Bombyx mori: one gene and its partners. The protein of the gene in region 1 interacts with the protein of each later gene in a pairwise test. Links are inferred from orthologs where the notes say so. Each region holds a gene or a part of one and is shown in the gene's direction. Other genes may lie near its edges.

What was found. The genes of interacting proteins can lie anywhere in the genome.
Region 2: the proteins of intersectin-1 (region 1) and epsin-1 interact in a two-hybrid assay, tested with the Caenorhabditis elegans proteins (3 studies listed by BioGRID). The link is inferred for Bombyx mori from reciprocal best matches to the Caenorhabditis elegans genes itsn-1 and epn-1.
Region 3: the proteins of intersectin-1 (region 1) and ubiquilin-1 interact in a two-hybrid assay, tested with the Caenorhabditis elegans proteins (3 studies listed by BioGRID). The link is inferred for Bombyx mori from reciprocal best matches to the Caenorhabditis elegans genes itsn-1 and ubql-1.

The regions. Positions count from the first base shown.
Region 1 is NC_085117.1:626,874-631,209, reverse strand, and holds part of intersectin-1, read left to right. Parts: coding exon 1-199; intron 200-726; coding exon 727-814; intron 815-1,449; coding exon 1,450-1,601; intron 1,602-2,078; coding exon 2,079-2,181; intron 2,182-2,904; coding exon 2,905-3,034; intron 3,035-4,152; coding exon 4,153-4,263; intron 4,264-4,336.
Region 2 is NC_085123.1:531,306-536,135, forward strand, and holds the start of epsin-1, read left to right. Parts: upstream 1-1,435; 5' UTR 1,436-1,596; exon of another isoform or gene 1,597-1,884; intron 1,885-1,994; exon of another isoform or gene 1,995-2,280; intron 2,281-4,830. Other genes in the region: nuclear pore complex protein Nup85, read right to left, coding at 1-63, 136-210.
Region 3 is NC_085127.1:9,240,352-9,245,454, forward strand, and holds the start of ubiquilin-1, read left to right. Parts: upstream 1-1,708; 5' UTR 1,709-1,840; coding exon 1,841-1,942; intron 1,943-2,067; coding exon 2,068-2,254; intron 2,255-3,790; coding exon 3,791-3,888; intron 3,889-4,461; coding exon 4,462-4,605; intron 4,606-5,103. UniProt on the Caenorhabditis elegans protein: May play a role in the ER-associated protein degradation pathway (ERAD) possibly via its interaction with ER-localized proteins ubxn-4 and cdc-48.1 and/or cdc48.2, providing a link between the polyubiquitinated ERAD substrates and the proteasome.

The DNA.
Region 1 (4,336 bases):
ACCGCTCCACCTATTATGGGAGCGACTCAGGCCCTGATCCAGTCTCCCCCCCTGTCTGGTCCGCAACAACCCGCGCCGGTCACGGCCGCGTCGTTTGGGGGTAGTCCCCCGCACCCGGTGGTCGCAGCTTCGGTTCCCGGACAGCCGGTGACGTCTACGCCGATCGCGGCTCTGAACAAAGAGGTCATATCGAAACCAGGTAATCAAATAATCATAATTGTAGTTTGAAAACTAAAAAAATAAACATGCTTTAACATCTAATCGAACTAACAGTTGGTGTCATAATTTTGTTTGTCCTGTCGATACTGGTAGTGATATCAGAGGGTAGTTATAAAACTGTTGTGTCGTCAGCGGTCATTGACCCGCGGGTGGGTTGATTTGTATTACGGGTTTTTCTCTGGACCCTGAATAATGATGTTACATGTGGAAGGGTGAAAGTTTATTTGGTCTAAGCGACATTTATCTTTATAATTAAAGGTCCGTTTTATTTGGTATCAGCACCAACAGTTCGATGTTTTTAATTGAACTTCAATTAAGTTTACTCTATTTGAATAGCTGAAGAAAAGGTTTTTTGTTATGATATTTTTTTCTAAATTTTAAACTTTCAATGGCTCTTTTGTAAAGTTGCAAAAATGTCGCGTAAACCCAACAACCTTTCACCCGTCGATGTGATCTCAGTAGGAAGAAATTATTTTGAATTTAGCGTGATTCCTGCTGTCCTTCCAGGATCCGTAGTGACGAGTCCCGAAGTCCCGATGGGAGTGATGAGCCCCCCTCCCATGGAGTGGGGGGTGCCGCAGCCACAGAAACTCAAGTGTGTATCGTCGACTGCTGCTAAAGCGATACCTGACCCTAGAGGGTTACCAGGCCACTTTCAGACTTGACCTTCGTGCCTCAGTGCTATAGTACAACAACCGCCCCAACCTTCAAACCGGAACGCATACTGCTTCGTGGCAAAAATAGGTGAAGCGGCTGTGCCTATCCGTGACAATCAAAAGACGCCCTGCTACTAACCGCTTCTGAATAATAATATTAAAAAACGAAGGAGCTGATCTGCGGACCCTGGACCGCAACGGAACTCCTGAACGGCCACTGGTAACCCAATCGAGTTTGGGCTCGTTAGATCTGTCCCAACGAGTGTTCTCGTGTGTTCTCTGTGTTCAATTCAGTACAATGTTAAGAAATTGAGAAGTGCGCGTTTGGAATGGTATGGACATGTGGTGAGATGAAATGACAATGAGATTGTCAAGAGAGTTTTAACTATGAATGTAGAAGGCTTTAGAGGAAGAGGTAGACCTAAAAAAAATGGATGGATTGCGTGAAAGACGATATGTGTCAGAGGGGAGTGAGCTAAATGGTGCATGATAGAGGAGTATGGAAGGAGAAACCATGTTGCGCCGATCCCAGGCGACTAGGAAAAGGACAGGATAATGATGATGTACTCCCTAGGTACACGCAGCTGTTCAACGCCACTGACCGCGCGAAGACCGGATCCGTTTCCGGGACGCAGGCGAGGTCCATCATGCTGCAGTCCAGACTCCCACAGCAAAGCCTGGCCCAGATCTGGGCGCTGGCCGATCTGGACGCCGATGGGAAATTGGGTGTGCTATTGAATCTGTTTTTTTTTTGAGACATGGTCACCCCTTAGTTGCCACCTGTCTTGAGGCACGAGGTCGAAGGTATAAAGGCTGTTCCGTGCTTCAAACCTAAACGTATAACTGCTTAGCGACAAAGACGATTAAGATGGCGGTACCTACTCGTACGGCCTGACGATATTTTCTACAAGTGTGTTTTCTTAATTCAAGTGAAAAACGTAGTCACTGAACCCGGATTAAATATCAAAACAATGCTCTAAATCCAAGTTCCCTAAAACTGAAATTTCATACCAAAATTAATTTGATATTTTAAGTAATAAAAAAATACCACGGGGAAATCTTCAGCTGCTCCCAACGACAACATTTGAAGTAATTAATTAGGTATGATTCGAGAATCTGCAACCTTAGTAATGTGTAGAGGACTTGTACTTGTACTTGGACTCGGAACCCGGTAAGGATGTGACGGTTGTCTCTCGCGTCCAGGCTGCGAAGAGTTCGTCCTGGCGATGTACCTGTGCGAGAAGGCGACGCAGGGCGAGCCGGTGCCCGCCAGGCTGCCTCCGGAACTGATCCCGCCTTCCTTCAGGTAAACCGACTTGAGTTCCACCTAAAAGTAAACAGGTTTCCACCCGGTCACTGTTCATGAGTTATTGGTGAAGTCTTGTGAGCCCGCACGGGTAGGTACCACCGCCCTACCGCAAAGCTGACATGCGATCTGGTTTTAAGAGCTAGTCCGTCTGCTTTTGCACATGGTGTTAAGTGGTTACTGGAGCCTATAGACATCTACGACGCAAATGCTGCTACCCACCTTGTGATATGAGTTCTAAGGTTCCATAGTTCTATAGTTACAACATAGGCAGGGCGATGGTACTTACCCGCGTTGACTGACAAGAGGTCCTATTACCAGTAATGATAATCTCTAGATAAAAGGGTGCATGTACTTATGTACGCGCGTAAGAAGTTATACTTTATTTTTATTCAAATAGAAACTCAAAGAATGTGGATAAATATTATAAATATAAATACACAGTGAACAGAGGCGGCGTGCGTGCCAACATGCGCCACTAACAGAGGTTCCATTTCTGTTTTGTTGGTAGCGTTTTTTACGAGTGTACATGCGCGAAAGTTCACCTGCGGCTATATTCAGACTCGCCAAGTTACGTCGGTCGTATTGTAATGAGTGATTTAGTGGGCAACTTCATTCTGTTTTGTGTCACGGTGCGCGCGCATCGTAAAATTTCACTATCATCAATTTTTCATAACGCTTCTAAAGAAGTATAACTTCAAAAAGTCGCTGTTGGTCTCGCAGGAGGGAATCGGTTTCGTCCACGAGCAGCGCTAAGTCGTACGAGGAGCGGCGGCGGGAGAACATGGCGCGCGGACAGGCCGAGCTCGAGCGCCGACGGACGCAGCTGGCCGACGCACAGATGAAGGAGAAGGTAAGAGGGCGGGGTCTGAACCAGAGCCAGTGGAGGGGGTCAACGGGGGACCACTCAACCAATCGTTTTAAACTGTGGCAGCGGCGTCGGTCGTGGCTGATCGACGCCCAGATTAACGAGAAGGTAAGGGGACGGGGTTTGAACTAGAACCAATGGGGGGGTCAACAGGGAACCATTGAACCAACCGTTTTAAACCGTGGCAGCGGTATCGGTCGTAGCTGATCGACGCACAGACGAAGGAGAAGGTAAGAGGACGGGGTCTGAACCACAGCCACTGAAGGAGGTCAACAGCAACAGGGGACCATTGAACCGATTGTTTTGAACCGTGTCAGCGCCGCCGGACGCAGCTGGCCGACGCCCAGATGAAGGAGAAGATAAGGGGACGGGGTCTGAACGAGAGCCAGTGGAGGGGGTCAACAGGGGACCATTGACCAATGGTTTAAAACCCTCACGCCCATCTCTATCTGTATCTGTGTGTGTGCGTGTGCGTGTGCGTGTGTGCGTGCCAACAAATTTGAACAGCCATTATTGTCAGTGTCATTGTCATTGAATTTGATTGAATTTTCGTTTTTGTATTTCACGCCTTCAAGGAAGCAGAGGTACATATGAACTGTTGCAATTAATCTTTTGAATTAATTAAGCATTTCTGAACTTTATCAAACAAGTCTTATTTAAATGTAATGTGTAGTGTAGTCATATGCAGTAGACTGGATCAGGTCCTCCGACGGTCCGCGCCTTTTTTTTATAGCATAGGTGGGTGGACGAGTTCACAGCCCACCTGATGTTAAGTTGTTATCGGACCCCATAGACTTCTACAACGTAAATGCGTCACCCACCTTGAGATATAAGTTCTAAGGTCTCAGTATAGTCACAACGGCTGCCCCGTCCTTCAAACCGAAACGCATTACTGCTTCACGGCAGAAACAGGCAGGGTGGTGGTAACTACTCGCGCGGACTCATAAGTTCGGTCAGATAAGGCTCACCGGTGAACATGGTGTTCAACGTGTTAAGTATATATGAGTTTTTATATCACTCTCTGCTTCCCATAGTGGGGTCGCAGTTAAAACTAGATAACTCGACCTCCTTCTATTCCGTGGCATGCGTCATCCTTCTAACAGGCAGAGAGGGAGAGGAAAGAGCGAGAGGAAGCCGAGAAGAGAGAAAAACTCCGTCTGGAGGCCCAGCAGAGGGAGCAGGAGGAGTTACTCCGTAAACAGAAGGAGGAACAGGTACGGACCATTGGACCTCCCCCACCGAACGCTGGTTACCAGTCTAAGAGCCGAGGTGATGGTACAAACTGCA
Region 2 (4,830 bases), on another chromosome or scaffold:
AAACTTGTTACCACTCCTCCACGCACATCCTACGCCCTTATTGAAACATTTTTCTGGTATATTCTGTAAGAAACAAAAAAAATAACTTAACTCAAACATAACCTATATATTCGTTGAATCATGTTAATTACTTACAAATGTTTTAGCTCGAATAATAGGACTACTATCATCGCCACGAACATTATTGTTAGAAAAAGTCGTTATATTCATTTTGTATTAAATCTTTCATGTACACAATGCAATTTCACATAAAATTTTGTAAACATTTGAATGCGAAACAGAATTGATCAGAAACCGCCGTTTCAAATGCGCTGATTTTTTTATTTGTTTCACACATAGAACAAGGTGAAAGCAAAGGAAACAAAATCCATACAGCCAATTATTCTTTTTGGTCAAATGCGTAATAATAGTGGGTTAGTAATCTTTTAGCATGTGTATATGGGCAGGTGTGAGAAAATAAAACAAAATCGCAGGACATGGCTTAGCGGTATCTTTTTCAAAAATACGCACACAATTCTATTTCGACGTCACCTCATCTCATCTCATTGCAATTTCAGATGATTCAATTTGGTTTCATTCCTTCCTATTAGATTTAGATAAGTTGACGAGCAATACGCACCTGTTATTTTTTATAATTCGTTGTCTATTCGCTGGTGTCTAAGGGGCTATTTCAGCTACGCGCAAACAAGTAGATGAGCTCAGAAATTCAACCTGAGAAAATTTGCTAACACTAGCCCTAGCAAGAACAGTGCCGCTGCAAAATCTATTACCCGATCAGAATCACGACTCATTGAGAATATCCGGCCAGAAACGCAGTGGGTTGTGTCTATGAGTTAATTCGATCATCGAAAACTTCGTCGCAATTGACGTGATTGATGAAGAAAGTAACCGTGAGTGAAAGGATCGGATAGGTCATGTTTCGCGATGTAATTTTACGTTGCCTCGTCCTTTGAGTCGGATATGTAATAAGCAGCGGTCACATTAAATAGATTATCGTGTCGCACCGAGCACTACGTTAATATTGCCACCGATCACAAAACATAAAATCAAAGACTCATTTGTATTGTATAGACTATGTAGTCCACCTTTCATAGCGGAACGCTTTCTAACTGTTATGCTTTAGAAACAGACAGAACAGTGATACCCAATAATGAAATTTACTGAAATCTACATGTAATTTCGTTCGCGTTCGACTTTTGTACTTCGGGTTTCAACTTCTGCACTTTCACAGATGCTAAACGATTGATAATCTACCATGATTATACGTTTAAACTAGAAGCAACACTAAATTAACAAAATAAAATAATCCATACAGTTACCTTGCCTCCCCGCCGAAAAGTTTCTTACAAACTTTAAATACACGAACATACGGCCAACAGTGCTAGACAAACTTTAACCCAAGATAACTAAAAAGTCGAGTATGATAGCCGTAAACATATTTTAAAAAGGTATGCATTGACAGTTGACGTTTTTGTTTGTTTTCGTAGTTTGACGCTCGTGATTCATTGTGAAACGTTTATCCCCTATAATAAAAAAAGTTTTTAAGTTTATATTTACCCTGAAATTAAATCCTTCCAGTATTTACAAGGTATAAAGGTACGTGAACATTTGATGACTTTGCATTTTTATTTAATAAGTAATGTCGCTGACCGGATGACCTGTTGGAGGACATATTGTTGATTTTGTCATGAATTAAATCTTGACAGTTTCAATTCGTCAAAAACTGTTTTGTAAACGGTATATTATTTTACAACAAAATTATAAAGTAAGTCAACTGTTATAATATAACTCGACGTTTTAATTAATATAATGCGATATCCAATATAAAAACAATTTAACTTGAAAGTTTTCGTTTGTTGTCAAAGTCGGATTTAACTATTTTTGGTAAGTTTAGTTCTTAATATTTCATGTGACCTGACTTTCTAGAGTGATCCGAATCATTGAGGCCTTCACCTCGTCTAGGGGCCATAATATTGATACAAAAACCGTGAGCTGCAACCGCGACTGTGACGTAGCGAGCGGTGAAAAACTAAACCGAGTGAATTAGGCCGCAGAAACCCGCTTCGGCGGTCGTGTTGTGTTCTGTGTCGTACCGTGACGTTCGGCGATCGTAGAAGATTCTGTGTACTAATTTATCGTAGTTGATGTGATAAAAAATTATCATTGAATGATATCTAGTATAATATTACTGTTTCGTCGTTCGTACCTGTGCACAGCTCAGACTAGTGGTGTTACTTGTGAAGTGTTTGTGGTGAAGAAATATTTTGGTGTAAACATTGTGTAAGTTGAATACTTGCAGTGCAAGTTGGATGTTACCTCTGTCCAGTAACCTTGAATGTTGTACATGTACATGTTTTATCATATCAAAGCAACATTTCATTTTATTTGTTATCATAGCTCATACAAAAATTCTCTTTTAGCTGTGAATTCCAACTCTTGACTATTTTAACACTCATTTCCAAATTTAAACTTTCTAACTGCACATTTAAAATTGTAAATTATTTCAATGTATTGTAAATGGCTGTGACACCCTTTTTCAGATAAGACATCTTTGAATAGCTTACCTAGGTATGTGTGACATATAGACCCAACACCCCAAGAAAAAAGTCATAAAAACAATCAACAACATAAATGCAAACTCACAAACAATTGTGGTTCTGATGTTGGGGTTTATAAAATCCCAGTTATTTAGGAGTTTCGATGAGATTATTATTAGAATTATTAGATCACCCCTGTATGCTAATTGACACTGGTTCTTCTTTATCTCAACACCTAACACATTATGTGATTGAGATTTTGACATTTAAATAGTGTAAAGGCCATTTTAGTGCTTTATTTGTGTTTTGATGAAAATGGAAAAATTATAATTAAATTCATCTCATATAAAGCAATAGATGGACAAGCTACATATAAAGCAATAGATGAACACAACTACACACAACATACTACTATCTATTTGTGCCCTCTTATATATATTTTTGAATACAAACTTCTTCAAAACTATCATCTGCTTGGACTATATATATTGATTTATGTCTGGCTTGTAGCCTGTTGCCGTTCATCCATTGATGTAGTGGTCTGCCTCTATTGTGACTTAGAGTGAGATGTCTGTTTGGTTTGGGGGTCCTGCCGAACCAATGACATCAGTCTGTCGTGGCACTGGGCACTGCTCACTCCATTTTCGCCTCCTTTCAATTTACTTATTCATGTGATTTCCAATATTTTCAGTCAATATGCAATAGATGCAAAAAACGTATCGATGTAATAATATAATCATTGCTAAAATTTTCGATTTTACTTAATGTAGTGTTGCAGGAAGGTGTATGATACATTTTCAAACCAAAACACATGAATGTTCTGTGGCAGAATACATAAGATGATGATACTTGCAGGCTTATGATATGCCGCAGAAATCAATAAATTAGATTGTTTGTAATGTGCCCTACTACCACTAAACATAATACATTTTTTGTATTAAATAAATTGTCCTTCACTTCCTCAACACTTTAGACAATAGAACAAAACAAACATGTTCACGAACAACAATAAATGTTGTAGATAATTTAATGACAATCAATCGCAGCGTGATATCAGACGAGACCTCTCAAAAACATGATAAAGATTCAATCCGTGATAAGATGAATCATTTTTTGTTCAGTGTTTCAGAATGTTCTTTTTTAGTATTGTAGATAGACCGTGAAGCTGATGGTTCATCTGGAATCTACCACAAACATGAGGTTGAACTTATTGGCATCAATGAATGCCATTGATATATTATCTGTCTCACTTCTCACAATAATGCATTATTTATTTGTGCTCTAGAAATTTGAGGCTATGACTGCTTTAAAGATTTTAAAAGCATTTTTCGACACGGAAGGTACAACTGTATCCGCCCCCAAATTGAACCAATTTAACGTTTGTTTTTTCAATATAGTCAGACAATGGCTACGCCGGTTTGTTTGCTTTTATTCTGGTTGGTGATAAAAAAATTCTTCTAGATACAGGATAAGCAATAAATTTTAAAAGATTCCCAATAGTTGAAATAAAAAAAGCCGTTTTAAAACTATTTGTTTATTGTCTTATATATTTTTTTTTTTATCAGGTCGATACTGGTATTAGAGTGAGTTTATAAAATTATTGTTTCTCCTTGGTGCTTGATGTGTGTATTTTCAAGATTATCGGATGCCTTGAACTCAGTGAAAATGACATTCAAAGTTACCCGTTACATAAAAACAAATATATAGTACATACGTACATACATACATAATGTATACCAAGCTAATACGAGCGTGTTCAAAATTTAAATAGGTACATAAAAATATTTGATCTAGATTTAATATTCAGGGAGGAAACGGAAATACAGAATTACGCAGCACGTTTCAGCCTAACCGTAAAATATCCCGTTAATTTGATTTTACATTTTCCGACTGTAGGATGTATAGATAGTCTTCGTAAATTTAATTAAAAAAAAACACGTCATTAAACCGTTTTTGGTAATTTACGTTACTCTGTATAGATAAGCATATAAGGAGGGTCATTAATAAAAAAAACAAATTTTTGCCAACGAAAATCTTAGTCATCCATCATAAGAAAACTTTACGCATTAATTATGTCTATACATTGACATCGAAAACAACAAAGATTTTGTGGATTCGTGAATTTTATCGTGATAAGGGCTTACTTAATTTTAAAATTCGTGCTAGCGATATCGGCGTAATTTTTTTTTTATTAAGTATATAAAAAAAAAAACCAAAAAGTTTGCTGAGAAAACAACCCGACTGAACCTAGCGATTGCCCAGTCCGTCCCGGTAATGTCTACATATACGTTAG
Region 3 (5,103 bases), on another chromosome or scaffold:
CTTCTTCTTCTTCTTCTAATAAAAAATTAAAAAATGTCTAATTGTTAGATAAAAATGTCTAATTGTTATTTAACAATTAGACATTTTTTGATAATGTGTATTCGATTCTTCAGTCTGTAATTTATTTACATTAAAGAAGAAATAGAAACTTATTTGTAAATTGGTAACCCCGTACAACATACTTGGACGAACAAAAAATTAAATACTTTCTCTACATTGATCACGATATGAAAATACTTAAAATAATATAGTACCTAGCGTGATAACAAAAATATAAAATTCTATTTTTTGTTAACTACACTAAATCACTAACATAATTTATACATACTATATCCATATTATATGTTCATAAGGCTATCCACCCGAGATCTTATCAAAATATTTTCGTTCGAAAGTTATCGCATTTTTAAAGTCCATCCATTCTTAATCTGTTTTTTGTGAAATTTTTTACTAATTTTTTTATTTATTACATGAGTGGACGAGCTCACAGCTCACCTGGTGTTAAGTGGTTTCTGGAGTCCATAGACATCGACAACGTTAATGCCGCCGCCCACCTTGAGATATAAGTTCTAAGGTCTCAGTATAATTACAACGGCTTCCCCACCCTTCAAACCGAAACGCATTACTGCTTCACGCCAGAAATTGGCAGGGCTGTAGTACCTACCCGTACGGACTCACAAGAGGTACTACCACCAGTAATTACGCTAATTACGCAAAAATAAAATGGTTATCGAGGGACAGTTTTATGTTCACGTCATGACTTATGCTAGTGTGGTGTTCGCTCAAGCGGCCCGCAAACACATAGACACCTCTATGATATACACATAGACAATCCCTACAAACCCGCTCTTGCAGGTTAACAGTCGGAGTGGGTCATAAGGAACCTTGACCTATACGATGACCTGGGTCTCGAATCCATCCGGAAACACATGAAGTCAGTGTCGAAACGGTATTTCGATAAGTCTATGCGTTATGATAATCGCCTTATCGTTGTCGCCGCTGACTACTCTCTGAATCCTGATCACGCAGGAGCCAGTCACCGTCGATGTCCTAAACACGTCTTTACGGATCCATCAGATCCAATAATCCTTGCATGAGACGCCTTTAGCTCTAACAATAGGACCAGGCTTAGGGACCCCGGTAACCGTACTCGTCAAACTCGGCATAAAGTTCGACGTGTACCCTAACCTAAACATCAGTACGCTGAGTTTCTTGCCGGATCTTCTCAGTGGGTTGCGATTCCAATCCGGCAGCAGATTCATTCGCAAAGCAGCTGCTCTTGATTTGTTAGGTCTCCTTCGGAGGTGCTCGGGCAGCTATTTGCATATCCCATCCCTTCTTGATGAGCCTTTGTTCGCCCACCAGTCCTGGTGAAGCTGGAAAGGCCTCCGGGCCATGAGTAATACTAAAATAAATAAATAAGATTATGTTGGCACTAAAAGCGCATTTATTAGAGCAAATATTAAGTGTATTGTCTATAGATAGAGCTATCCTACTTAACTCACATAAATACCGTACGTTCTTTTTTGGTAATCTGCATATAATTTTTAGGATCTATTTAATTCAACGCACACACTTGCATGTGCACTCAAAAATGTTTTTATTCTCATGCTTGGTCTTAAGATTCACAAATCAAAATAGAGGTCAATCAGCAATTTCCAAATAGAACCATGCCAACTATTTTTGTGAAATTTATGGTCTTAGTTGTCTGGCAGCACTACTAGTTAGCCGTCATACTGACCCATAGACAATATACAAGTCAACGCTATTCGTCAATTTGTCTTTCTCGTATAAATTTTACTTTTCCGCCAAAGTACATAGTCATTCTAGAATTGCCAAAATGGCAGAGGGACAAGACGACCCTAAAAAAATTACGATCACAGTTAAAACCCCGAAAGAGAAGCAGCAAGTTGAAATTGAGGAAGATGCCGATATCAAAAGAGTGAGTAGGGGGCCGTGAAATCCTTCATTCATGGCGTAATAACATTGATATGGGACACGCAATCAGTGACGACATATATTTCTTCATTCCGGCACATAAAAACGCAGTATTTTCATTCGTTTTAGCTCAAAGAAGTGTTGTCTTCAAAATTCAGTACAGAACCAGAACAATTATGTCTTATTTTCGCCGGGAAAATCATGAATGATGCCGATACCCTGAAGCAACACAACATCAAAGATGGGTTGACAGTGCATCTAGTGATTAAAGCTCCTCCAAGACCAGAACCGGAGGGTGCGGCTCGTAGACCCCCAGGTAAATTAACTAACTAGGATTGGATTTTCATTAGTTGTGTTGACTAACGAGTTCCAAGTCCATTTCAATAAAATATGTCATACGAATTAACCTGGATAATGAAATACAGTTAGTTTAGCTATTTGCAAGTAAACATTGATGATATTTAATTGTTTTGAGAAACAAATGGAGGAACATACAAGAATCATATTCACTAATTATGGACACTATAAAATGTATGTAAATTTTAGAGATTCCAATGTGAAGATTTCAATGAGCCAGTGAAAATTTTTGTTAGACTCACAACCAAAATGTTATTGAAAACTTATCTTGAAAATCTTGCTGGCTTGATATGTCGTCTAATTTCTTCTGCCATATAAGCTATCGCTACATGTATCATATATTATATCCACTCTTAAAGTGAAAAAAAATAGAAACTTTTTGGAAAAATAGATGGCATACTGTTAACCTGCTCAGGTGGAATCCACCAATTTGCCTATTAATGCAGCATGGCATGCACACATTAGTTTGCAGGATAGGACAGTCATTATCTAAGACAATTTGGTCTTTTGCCTCGTGTGTCTAGTGGTTTCATTCACATTGTGATATCAATGGGCTTTGTTAAGCACTTAAAACTAGGTGCTCCTCCATCTATCTGTGCAATAAAAATAAATAATAGATATTTGACTGGGAACTTGTGTATATTATATTTCTCTCTTCTTCTCTGTCGTTTCCTCATGACTGAGGGTTGTGACCACCTTGGTCCAGTTTTTGCACCAGCTTCCTCCAATGCTGCCTGCATTTGGCCTGCTTAATGGCTTAATATTTATGTCATAGGAAAATTAAATTTCTCGTACAGCATATTAGCTTCAGTGGCAAATTGAAAACTTTATTTTGGGCCACAAAGCTTTTGGAAAATATAAATATATTACATTTTGCTGCACTAAATATTAATTTCTTACTTGTAAAGTAAAGCTTTTATTGTGTTAATCAAGGTAAAACAATAATTAAGCATAAACTTTTTCTTTACAGTAAATCAGAAACTTTGGTATATGTTGTTTTGACCTGTTTTAGTCTAATAAAGATAATTTTTTGTAAAAGATATGTCAGGTGTTAATGGGATACTTGTGTTTATGGCTATATCTAACATTTATGACTTGTGAGCAATTGGCACACCTGCTGTTAAAGGTAACCAGAATCTATAGACATCTTATGGTGAACATGTCCACATTCATCATTGTGACACATTCAGTTAGAAGCCACAGTAGCATTAGTAAAACAGTAATTTCACACACATCTATTCTACTCATAAACTAGACAATCTGTTATAACATCAGATCCTCTCGCTCAGACTGGCCAAATACTAATAGTTAATATGATGATGATAATAATCATTTAAATACTTGGATGTTTGTTTCAAATAAAAATTCTTCTTATTTGGATTTATTTTACTAGAAAGAAATCCAATTGTTTACTTAATAACACTTGTGTTAGATTATTGAAAATTATAAAAATATGAAATTTATTTCCACTACATTTGTAATATCATTTTCCTAGCTGACGTCAGTGCTACACCATTTGGTTTAAACTCGCTGGGTGGGCTGGCGGGTCTTGAAAGCTTGGGCCTTGGTCAGAGTACTTTTATGGATCTCCAGGTATTTATATCACAGGACTGCTTTATATGATATTGAAAAGTTTTCAGCTACATTTATAAACTGTAAAACTGTAATTTTTTATTATTAACAAGCCTTTCGTTTAGTCTATTTATTGGGGTTCTCAACCCATCTAGCACAGTTACCGCAACCCATATGACAGCTTCAGATAGAATTCCAAGTAACAATTTAATTAGGATATTTCCTTTTTTTTCCTACCTATGCTGATACCCTTGAAAGGCTATATCAGTGTTACTCTAGCGTATAGGTGAGTTCTCAGGACTCAAACCGGAGGTGTTGCTAACACTGGCCCTAGCAAGAACAGTGCTTCACAGAATCTACCACCAGATCAAAAACACAACCCACTGAGAAGATAACCAAAATGCATGATTGTTTTGCTTTTTTTGTGTTTTTTTTTTAATTCAGACTGGCTTTATATGCAATAGAACATACGGCCCTATTAATAGCAAGTTTAAGCCGTCCCTCATAAACCAGCAATGATAGAGGAACAGTCAAACTTACGCCTACTGTATAATTAACAAATTTGGACCCTACTAAGGCTTATATTATTCACAGGCTAGAATGCAACAGGAACTTCTGTCCAACCCTGATATGCTCAGACAAGTCTTAGACAATCCATTGGTGCAGCAGATGATGAATGATCCTGAGAATATGCGTAGCCTCATCACCTCCAACCCACAAATGCAAGATCTCATGTCTGTGAGTCATTTTTTTACTAAAATTGTACTATTATAAAGTAATAAATACTACTAATGACTAGTATATAATAATAAAAATTTACTAACTTCATAAATTAACACGTTGCCTGTCCGTGCATTATATATAATGCATTTTTGGTCCAGCTGTGACGTCCGTGCATTATATGTAATCCACGATGTTCTTGTTACTACATTCGTGCATTATAAGTAATGCACGGTATTCTAGCTGACACGTCTGTGCATTAAAACTAATGCATGCATGAAATTCAGTATTTTAGTTGTTTTTGAAAGTGTTTTTTGAAAAGCACTTACATGTACTTCATAAGTACATAAAATGAAATAGTTAAGCCGAAAAAAAAACGGGGTCATGGGTACTTAACCAAAATACTCTGGACAGGCAACGTGCTAACTTTGAAGACATACAATACAATAAATCTTTGGCTGTATAGATCAGTAATTGGCAAAGTGCCTTGAAAGAACCCTTCGTAGAGTACAGAAT